Linked DNA regions of Cricetulus griseus. The main gene of each other region encodes a partner of the protein of the gene in region 2 in a complex. Links are inferred from orthologs where the notes say so. Each region holds a gene or a part of one and is shown on either strand. Other genes may lie near its edges. The genes, in order: Cck and Cckar.

Region 1 (4,290 bases), on a different chromosome or scaffold from region 2:
ATCCTCTGGCCTGTTTAGGGATTAGTGTCTACTCTGAGGGCTGGGCACAACCCACGCTTCTATCGAGCCAGCTGTCCGGTCAGTGGCTGGGCACTTTACTCTCATGGGAGCTGTGTTTGGAACATGCCTTGGCTCTCACATCCTACACAGATCTGTCCTCAGGCATGTTGTTATCACCCTCCATCCATCGCCAGCACTACACAGCGAAGGGGCTTAGAGTGGTCTGAGACAAAGTGATCTGACTCCTGCAGCAGGTGAGCTGGGAACCGTATGGCCTCCAGGCCGCGGCGTAAGTCAAACCTGTATAGACTCCTGCTGCCTCCTAGATGCACCAATGTGTGCACAGATGGCATTTGCCTTCTTTAGCACAGGCTTCATAAGTGAAAGACAGTGAGATAGATGCTCATGTGAAGAAAGGTTTTAAGGCTTGAGAGAGATGCATGGAGAGAGCATTGGATGCTAGTGCCATTGATGCCTCCCCACCTCCCACGGGAACACACTTCCCCCTGGACCACCAATGCCTCCCCACCTCCCACGGGAACACACTTCCCTCTGGACCACCAGTGCCTCCCCACCTTCCACAGGAATGAATAGGCTTCCTCTGGGACCACTGAGGGCTCTGCAGACAAGCTCTAAAGATAAGCTTGGTTTTATTTCATATTTTACTTTTTGTTTTTAAATATGAGATCTTACATAGCCCAAGCTGGCCTCAAACTTGCTGCACAGCAGAGGCTAGCTTTGAACTGGTCCACCCACCCCCACCTCCCGATGCTAGGATTACAGGCTGGGTGTCATGTGGTGTGAGAGTTGAACTCAGGATTTTGTGCATTCTAGGCCAGTCTACCAGCTAAAGCCAAGCCCCAATCACTCAAAAAAGTATCTCGTCTAGAGTCTTTAAGAATAGTATGTATTATAGTTGAATAAAAAATCATTTATAAAATATTCAGAGAAATTGTGCAGTATTGACAATATTGATCCTGAGTTTATATTTTGTCAAAAAGTGGGCATCACTCTTCTATACTTAGCCCTGACCCTGGGTGTGAGCAAACCAACTTTCAAATGAAGGCTACTCCTTTCTGGGCTCAGTGGGTCCAACAGGCTGAGGGGAGACAGGGTCTGAGAAGAGAGCTCGGAGTGGCTTCCAGCTGCTGGGAAAACCACTGTCATGTGTTGGTTCTAGGCAATAATTCAGCAACCAGGCTTTCTGTTGCTAGAACTGCTCGGGCATTCCCAAACTCAGGCCAAAGGTTCTATAGACTGACAGCTCACTGAAGAGTCTAGAAAAGTCTAAAATACTTCAGAAGGGTCTGCTGGCCCACATCAGAAGGAATGGGGAGGGGGCATCCCACGTTCCCAGGTTTTCTTATTACCTGGTGTGTATGTGTGTATGTGTGTGTGTGCATGTATGTATGTATGTATGTATGTATGTATGTATGTATGTATGTGTCTGTATGTGTGTATGTATGCATTTCTCTCTCTCTCTCTCTCTCTCTCTCTCTCTCTCTCTCTCTCTCTCTCTCTCTCTCTCTCTCTCATCTCTCCCTCCCTCCATTGAATTAGCAGGAAAACAACCTAGAAAGGGATGGCTGTGGGGTGAGTTCCCAAACAGGAAGAAACATAAGAAATCTCTTGATTCCCCTGAAGTCCCCTGGTCGCATCTTCATGGGGGACTCTAGGAAACTCAACCAAGTTCCCCAGTTCCCCCTCACTAGTCAAGCCCAATGCCCTGGGCTGTTCAAATCAGACAGGACACGTTGAGTAAATGAGCTCCACAGAACAAAGGGCCCACCTTCGAAAGTTAAATCTCACTCTACTGGTCCAGTTTAACACACCCCAGCCAGAAGTCACCATCCATGTCCCTGCTGATAAAGTCAGATGAAAGCTGTCTTGGTGGCAGCCATGACTCCCGAGCTGGGAGAGGATCTGGTCTGCGCTGTCCCCATCGCCTCTCTGAAGATGAGAGATTTGGGTACAGGAGAGGAACCCTCAACTGGCAAGCTGCTGAATAGCCCACGGGGATCGTGGGGGGGGGGCGGCTTCCAATATTGAGAAGATCCCTGAGGTGGTCAGCATGGTGGCCACCTTTCTGACAGCTATAGAAACGTAAGACACAGCTTTCACTCTGTGGCCATCCTGACTGGGCAGTCAAGGGAACTCCAGCTGCTCTTTGACCCTTACCTCCTGCGCCATACAGGGGGACATGTACACAGTGCCAGCTACGTGTCTCAAGTCTCAGGTTTTCTCAGCACTGACCTATTTCACGCCAGAGGGGTCCCGAGGGTCAGTGTCTGGGTGGTCCCCAGTCCTGCTGTATATACAGCACAGAGGAGAGGGCGGATCTGGAGACTCTTACCAGCACTTTGTGTGTGTGTGTGTGTGTGTGTGTGTGTGTGTGTGTGTGTGTGTGTGTGTGTGTGTGTGTGTGTGTTTTCCTAAAGCGGTGTTGGACTTCAACCCTAATACAGTGCCGAAGTCAGTTCCGAGAAGGGTTAGCCCGCTCCTCTTACCCACGCGGTAAGCCCTCCACCCATCTCCCCTCTTGGGTGCTGAGAACACCACCTGCTGATGCCACAGTGCGGTGCAGAGTACCTCAGGGAAGGAAAGAGAGAATCTTGCTCCTCGTGTGCTCTGGTTTCCTCCTCTTCCCTGCAGGTGCTTTGGAGATCAGGAATGGGAACCCAGACCGCAGCAGCAGCCGCCGCGTGAGGCAGAGCGGACATCCTTACCTTTGCGTGCCTGCTGAATGTATCGTGCGAGCAGTGCGCCCAGGCGCGCTCGGGGCTCGCCGTCGGTCCTGAGCACCGCCCTCAGCTGCCTTCGGGGGGCCTCCTCTGCCCGCTGCACCGCCGACTCCGCGGCTTCTGCTGGTGCCACTGGCTGCGCCAGGGCGCCTGCAGCCAGGACTGCCATCAGGACGCACAGACACACGCTGCTCTTCATGGCTGTGGGGAGCGGAGGCGAGGGTCATGAACCAAGGGCTGAGCTCGGCGGGCTGCAGCCAAAAGTCCCGCACACGAAGTCCGCCGAGGCTGAACGCGGGGCTGTGGCCGCCAGCCTGGCTCATGCCCTAGAACTAGTCAAGTCCAGTCCTTGGCTGCGCCCTGGCCACCGCGCGCCTGGGGACACTTCTGCCTGGCTTTTGTGTTATCCACACCCAGGGCCCGGGAATCCCGCACAGACCCCATTTACTTCCAGGTTCAGAAGCAGTGCCTCCTGCTTTCCTGAAGTTAGAGGGCACCTTTATAGCCCATCTCTCTTCTAACCAGAAAACACAGAGTGGGTGAGTGGGTCACACACACACACACACACACACACACACACACACACACACGAGAGAGAGAGAGAGACAGAGAGAGACAGAGAGACAGAGAGAGACAGAGAGAGACAGACAGACAGAGACAGAGACAGAGACAGAGAGGCAGAATGCAGAGAAATGCAGGTTAAAAGCCGTCTCTACAGAAATGAATGGGACGACAATGGGAAGCGGTTTAAAGTATGGGTGCATAAATAGAAGCTGTGTTTATAGAGGTTCCTCGGTGTTTCTATGGGGACGAACAAGAAGTCACTATGCAAAAGAAAACCCAGAACTCTGTGCCCAGTCCTGAGTTGTGGCCAAAGCCCCACCACATTTGCAAACCGACCTAGAACTGACCTGATGGGACCTGCACCGTCCTAACGATGTCTTTCTAGCCACAAAGCCTTAGTTTTTTTTCCTGCATCATTTAGAAAATGAATGTGTCTTAAAACCTCTTGGCATTCCCTTTTAAATGATTGCAAAGTGATCCGAACATCGTGGGAACCCTAAGAAATGGCTATCCCAGCCTTGCCATTAGACAGCACACAGAGGAATAAAGTCTCCACGCAGCAGTACCCACCCAGGCGCATCTTAAAATCCAGAGCCATTATTTCTGACTTCAGGAAATCTTCCCAGCTGTCAAAGGAGGGAAGGCACAGAAAACAGAAAGATGATACGGCCAGGACGCAAAGCTACGGGCCAGTATTCTTCACACCCGTAATTCTTGGATGGGCCAGCACAGACACCGACTTACCTTTGACGGGGGATCAGCTGGCTTGGCGGATTCCAGCAGAGCAGGCTGCAGTCCAGCCAAGTTCAGGGCAGACTGGAGGGCGGCTGCCTCTTAAATAGCCCCGCCCGGCGCGCAGCCAGTCATCTGTTTACCCAGTGCTGACGCAGTCCGGCAGGACGCTTGCTCAGAAGGCGGCCACTGGCGCGACCACCGATTGAAGTGGCCCTGGAGAAAAGGGAAAGGGCTCAGTGAACGAGGACAG
Region 2 (4,472 bases):
CCAACCTAAAACCAATACCAAATAACAAGAAGAAGTAAATTTAACCAAGTAAGCTATTATGACATTCCAAATAATCCCAGAATTAGTTTGCTGTTTAATTTTGGCTACTAAAGTTGTTCTGAGGTGAAATTCACACAGCATAGACTTGACCACCTTGAAGCAAAGAGTTTCCCGGCCTTCAGAGCTGTGTGATTATGTGAGTACCTCTGTGAATTCTCCTCCCCACTCTAGCTAAGATGTTAAAGCCCAGCAGATGCACATGGATGGGCCCCAGGAGTTAACAAGCTTTCAACAATGCTTCATTATCTAACCAAGATCCTTCCCATTTTTCTTAAGGCTTTAGAATATGTTCAGGGGACTTGAACACAAATGACATCCTTAGTTACTAATCTGGGGGCATGAGAGTCATCGATTCATCATCATTGTGTCATCTGTTGGATCTTGAACACTCAATTGGGAAAAAGAAAGGCTTTTCAATGCTTTCTGGCCTGCGAAGATTTCCCTAGCCCTCGTCAGTGCTCTCTGTTTAACACAGCTTGCGTCAGAATCAAACACACACACACTCCTCACCCTCTTCTTCTTCTCAGTTGGTTCTCAGAATGGGCAAGGGACAAGGTAGTGTGACAGACAGAGAGGACCAGGGACATGTTTCTGTCCAGGGTTAGGAGAACCTCAGTAGCTGGCAAGCTGAGGCATGAACTCACCACTGTGGTGCCTGCTAATCTAGGTTCAAACCCCAGCCCCCATGCTTCCCCTGGCACGTGCTTGGCAAGATAGGGAAGAATTGATGATAGCTATTTACCAGGTGGACAAGAAATAAGATCATGGAAGTGAAAGTGCTCAGCAAAATACCTGGTGCATAAAAAAGTACTAAGAAAGTAGCTTTGTGGGTTTTGCTACAACCATCATTATGTTTGGCAGCGAGCTATAGGGCTCATCCAATCAGGATCTACTTCATAATCCATGCTCCTTAGGAACATATTCAGCTTCTTATTACACAAACACACACACACACACACACACACACACACACACACACACACACACACACACACACACTCCACAGACCCCTGGCCTAAGATGCCCCCAGGCTTTGAGAGAACAATCTGGGAAGTGAATCCTGAAAGGAGTAGCTAGACAGAGATGGAATGGTTTAAAACAGCCTCCATTTCTCACAGAACAAGAAACACAACAACAAAGAGCCCTGATCCTATGCACCTACTCCATTCCAAGAAACCCTGTCCCAACTTGGGGGTTAATTGGCATACAATCATCTGCCAGCAGAAAAGTATGGAGTGACTTGAAGTCACCTATGAGTTCTTGTCCTTATTCAAAGAGGAAACTCCACTGAGTTCCCACTGTGTTTTTGTCTCAACTTCTGACACACACTCCCTTGCAAGTAGAAGGGCTGACTTGCTGTAAAGAGAGCACCCATGTCCTACATGGGCCCAGCCAGCCAGATGCTTGGTATTTGGGAACCCAGGAGGGTCCCTCTGCTGTGACTGTCAAGCAGCTGGCAAAAGCGGGGGCTAAACAGGGCTGAGTGAGAAGAGCCCCATCAACAGCCACCTGCAGCGACTCACCCATGAAGTAGGTGGTGGTCTTGCACATAGCACTTCCAAAGATGAAATCCTTGAGCAGATTGGGGATGAGGTTGAATGGCATGCAGAAGAGACAGAGCATGAGGTCACTGACAGCCAAGGATAGCAGGAAGATGTTGGTGACAGTCCGCATCCTCTTGTTTCGAATCAGCACCGTGATGACCAGCGTGTTCCCCAGCACACTGAGGAGGAATATGAAGGAGTAGAGGAGAATCTGCACTGCAGGCTGCCACTCTGCAGAGGAATGGGGAAGAGTTGCAGGGAGGTGGGTTAGGAGGGTGGAATGTGAAAACCTTAGCCCCCCAAGGAGTGGTCATTTCTGATGATGTCCCCTGCTGGCATGCATCACTGAACCCGAGTATCCCTGTGCTGCCTGCATCACACAGACACAAGCCCAGGGAAGCACAGGGCAATCCAATTGCTTTTTTAAAGGTTGGTGTGTGTCAACAGATCACTGGGGAAAGCAGTTTTTTCCTAAGGACAGTGCTCCTGAATGGTGACGGCTTCCTTTCCCTGAGGCTAAGCATTATTTTATTTTGCTTTAATCACTTCTTCATGCTGGGTTTCTCCTAAGAAAAGGTAACCTCTACCCCTGACAATGCTTTTTCAGTAATGTGTGTAGTCCCGGCTTCTACACTTGGCACCCCTTTCTGCCCTCAGCTCTTCTATGCTTTTGTCATCTCCCCCGAATCCTTCATGAGTTCCCAACTCTCCCATGGGAACAATAAGAATATTTGACTGTAGATTTCTCTTACTCGTTTATCCAAACTTCTGAACATACAACTTCATTTAGCTTTGTCTCACAGGGATTTTGTACACACACACACACACACACACACACACACACACACACACACACACACACACACACTGTACATACATTTTAGTCAACCTTGCTGTTGCTATCATCTCCCTTAACTGGGTGGTTTTCTGAACTCCAGTCACAGCCTCTAACACCTACCTTTTGAAGGCTGAGGTCGATCCAGGCAGAAAAGAGTCTCATTTTCCAGGCCGAGTTCACAGGGGGGAGTAATGTTGCTCCCATTCATGAGAAGGCTGTCGACCACGTCCATCCTGCTGCTCTCTACCAAGTGCTGGCGAGCTGGTGAATGGCTCACTCCTGACTCGTTCCTCTAATGACCGGAGAGTCTCCTAAATGCAACCTGCCGTGGAGGGGCAGGGAGGGGGTATTTCCAGGTGTGGGCTTTGCAGCCATTCCTAAAGGCAACTTGAGTTCACCATTCTCAGACCAGCTGGGCAAGCACTTGCACTCCTGTGGGGAGAAGCAGCCTGTGCAAGTCAAGCCTGCTCCACCTTCCAGGCCCACCCCTCCCATTCCTGGGCCGGTCTGAGGCCCTGAGCACAGGCAGCTTGGCTGCATATTAACCCTTCCCAGAGTGGGGCCACATCTACACACACACACACACACACACACACACACACACACACACACACACACGGGTGGAGAGAGAGAAAGAGAGAGACTTCCCAATTACCACCTCTCTTCTCTGCCTGTCAGTGTCCCAGACATATTCAGAGTGAAGCCTGAAATGTCTGTGTGAGACAGCATCAATTAACATGGTAACAGATCCGATAATGCAGACCATTGGGACTAAGGGACACAGAGAGACTGCATTCCTATCTCCTTATATAAAAGCAATTAGTGCCTTTTAGCTTTGGAGCCTTGCCCAGTAATGTGTATGGAGAGAACTTCTGGGTGGTTGTTAAGGTGTTACCAAGCACAGTGCTCGGTCTTGTGGTCTCTGCCCTTGTTAACCAGAAGCAGGGGACTCTTCTGAATGCAGATTCCTAGGTCCTTTATTTTATTTTATTTATTTATTTTGTATTTTTTTAATTAGAAAGAAGATTATTTTACATGTTAATCCCAGGTCCTTCTCCCTCCCATCCTCCCTCCCCCACCCCACCTAATACCCTACCTTTTCTGCTCTCCTAGATCCTTATTACTATAGAAATCAGCAAGAATTCTCATTCACTTGTTTATTTTTTATTGTTTTGCTTTGTCTCTCCACCCCAGACCTGTTCACTGAGAGTCAACCATTTGCTGAGTACTTCTCAAGCCCATCAGGAAAGAAGAGCACCTCAGATGCTGTTAAGTTGGAGAGGGGAAAAGTGGGAAGGGATTTAGGCCTCCCTGGTGGGGGTGGGGGTTACTAGTGGTGCAAAGCCTGAGATGTAAATGCGAAAGCCTCCAAACAGGGGACAGAATACTTTCTGCAGAGGCCACAACCAGTGCAAAGGGCCTGAGGCAGGAAGGGGCTTGGCCTATTTGAAGGACAGAAGAAGGAATAAGTGAAGGGTATGTTGGGAGATGGCTAGTGTGTGAGAGGCCTGTTTAGGGGCTTGGCTTTTTCAGGAAGTTGGACAATACTTAAAAGCCCCTCACTGTTCACTGCACTGGTCTTAGTTTGAACATCTAAGAAACAGGCAATATTAGGATCTGTGTTTCTTTCTTGCTTTATTTTTTTTAAAAAATAAATTTATTTATGTATTTATTTTTATATCCTGGCTGCGGTTTCCTCTCTCCACTCTCCTCCTAGTCCCTCCCCACCATCCCCCCTCTGCTCCCACCCCCAATCCACTCCTTTTCCATTTCTGTTTAAGTATCAATAAAACACAGCATATCAAGTTTCAGGAAGACTAAGCGCCTCCCCATGTATTAAGGCTGGGCCAGGTGACCCAGTATGAGTATTAGAGTCCAAAAAGTCTGTAAACAAGTCAGAGACAGTCCCTGTTCCCAATGTTAGAAGTCCCACAAGAGGACCAAACTACACCACTATAACGTACTTGTAGAGTGCCTAGGTCAGTCCCATGCAGGCTCCTGGTTATTAATTCAGTCTCTGTGAGCCTCTA

Evidence for each region.
Region 1: the proteins of Cckar (region 2) and Cck are in contact, whole or in part, in a cryo-EM structure (PDB 7MBX), measured with the Homo sapiens proteins. The link is inferred for Cricetulus griseus from reciprocal best matches to the Homo sapiens genes CCKAR and CCK. Residues at the interface, in NP_000721.1 of Homo sapiens: Cys94, Phe97, Asn98, Pro101, Asn102, Lys105, Asp106, Phe107, Thr118, Met121, Gly122, Val125, Tyr176, Phe185, Asn194, Met195, Cys196, Arg197, Phe198, His210, Leu213, Leu217, Ile329, Phe330, Ala332, Asn333, Arg336, Ala343, Glu344, Leu347; in NP_000720.1 of Homo sapiens: Asp96, Tyr97, Met98, Gly99, Trp100, Met101, Asp102, Phe103.

The regions. Positions count from the first base shown.
Region 1 is NC_048597.1:228,506,560-228,510,849, forward strand, and holds the start of Cck (cholecystokinin), read right to left. Parts: upstream 2,941-4,290; coding exon 2,727-2,940; intron 1-2,726. UniProt on the Homo sapiens protein: This peptide hormone induces gall bladder contraction and the release of pancreatic enzymes in the gut. Its function in the brain is not clear.
Region 2 is NW_023276807.1:121,968,278-121,972,749, forward strand, and holds the start of Cckar (cholecystokinin receptor type A), read right to left. Parts: upstream 2,946-4,472; 5' UTR 2,675-2,945; coding exon 2,563-2,674; intron 1,836-2,562; coding exon 1,584-1,835; intron 1-1,583. UniProt on the Homo sapiens protein: Receptor for cholecystokinin. Mediates pancreatic growth and enzyme secretion, smooth muscle contraction of the gall bladder and stomach. Has a 1000-fold higher affinity for CCK rather than for gastrin.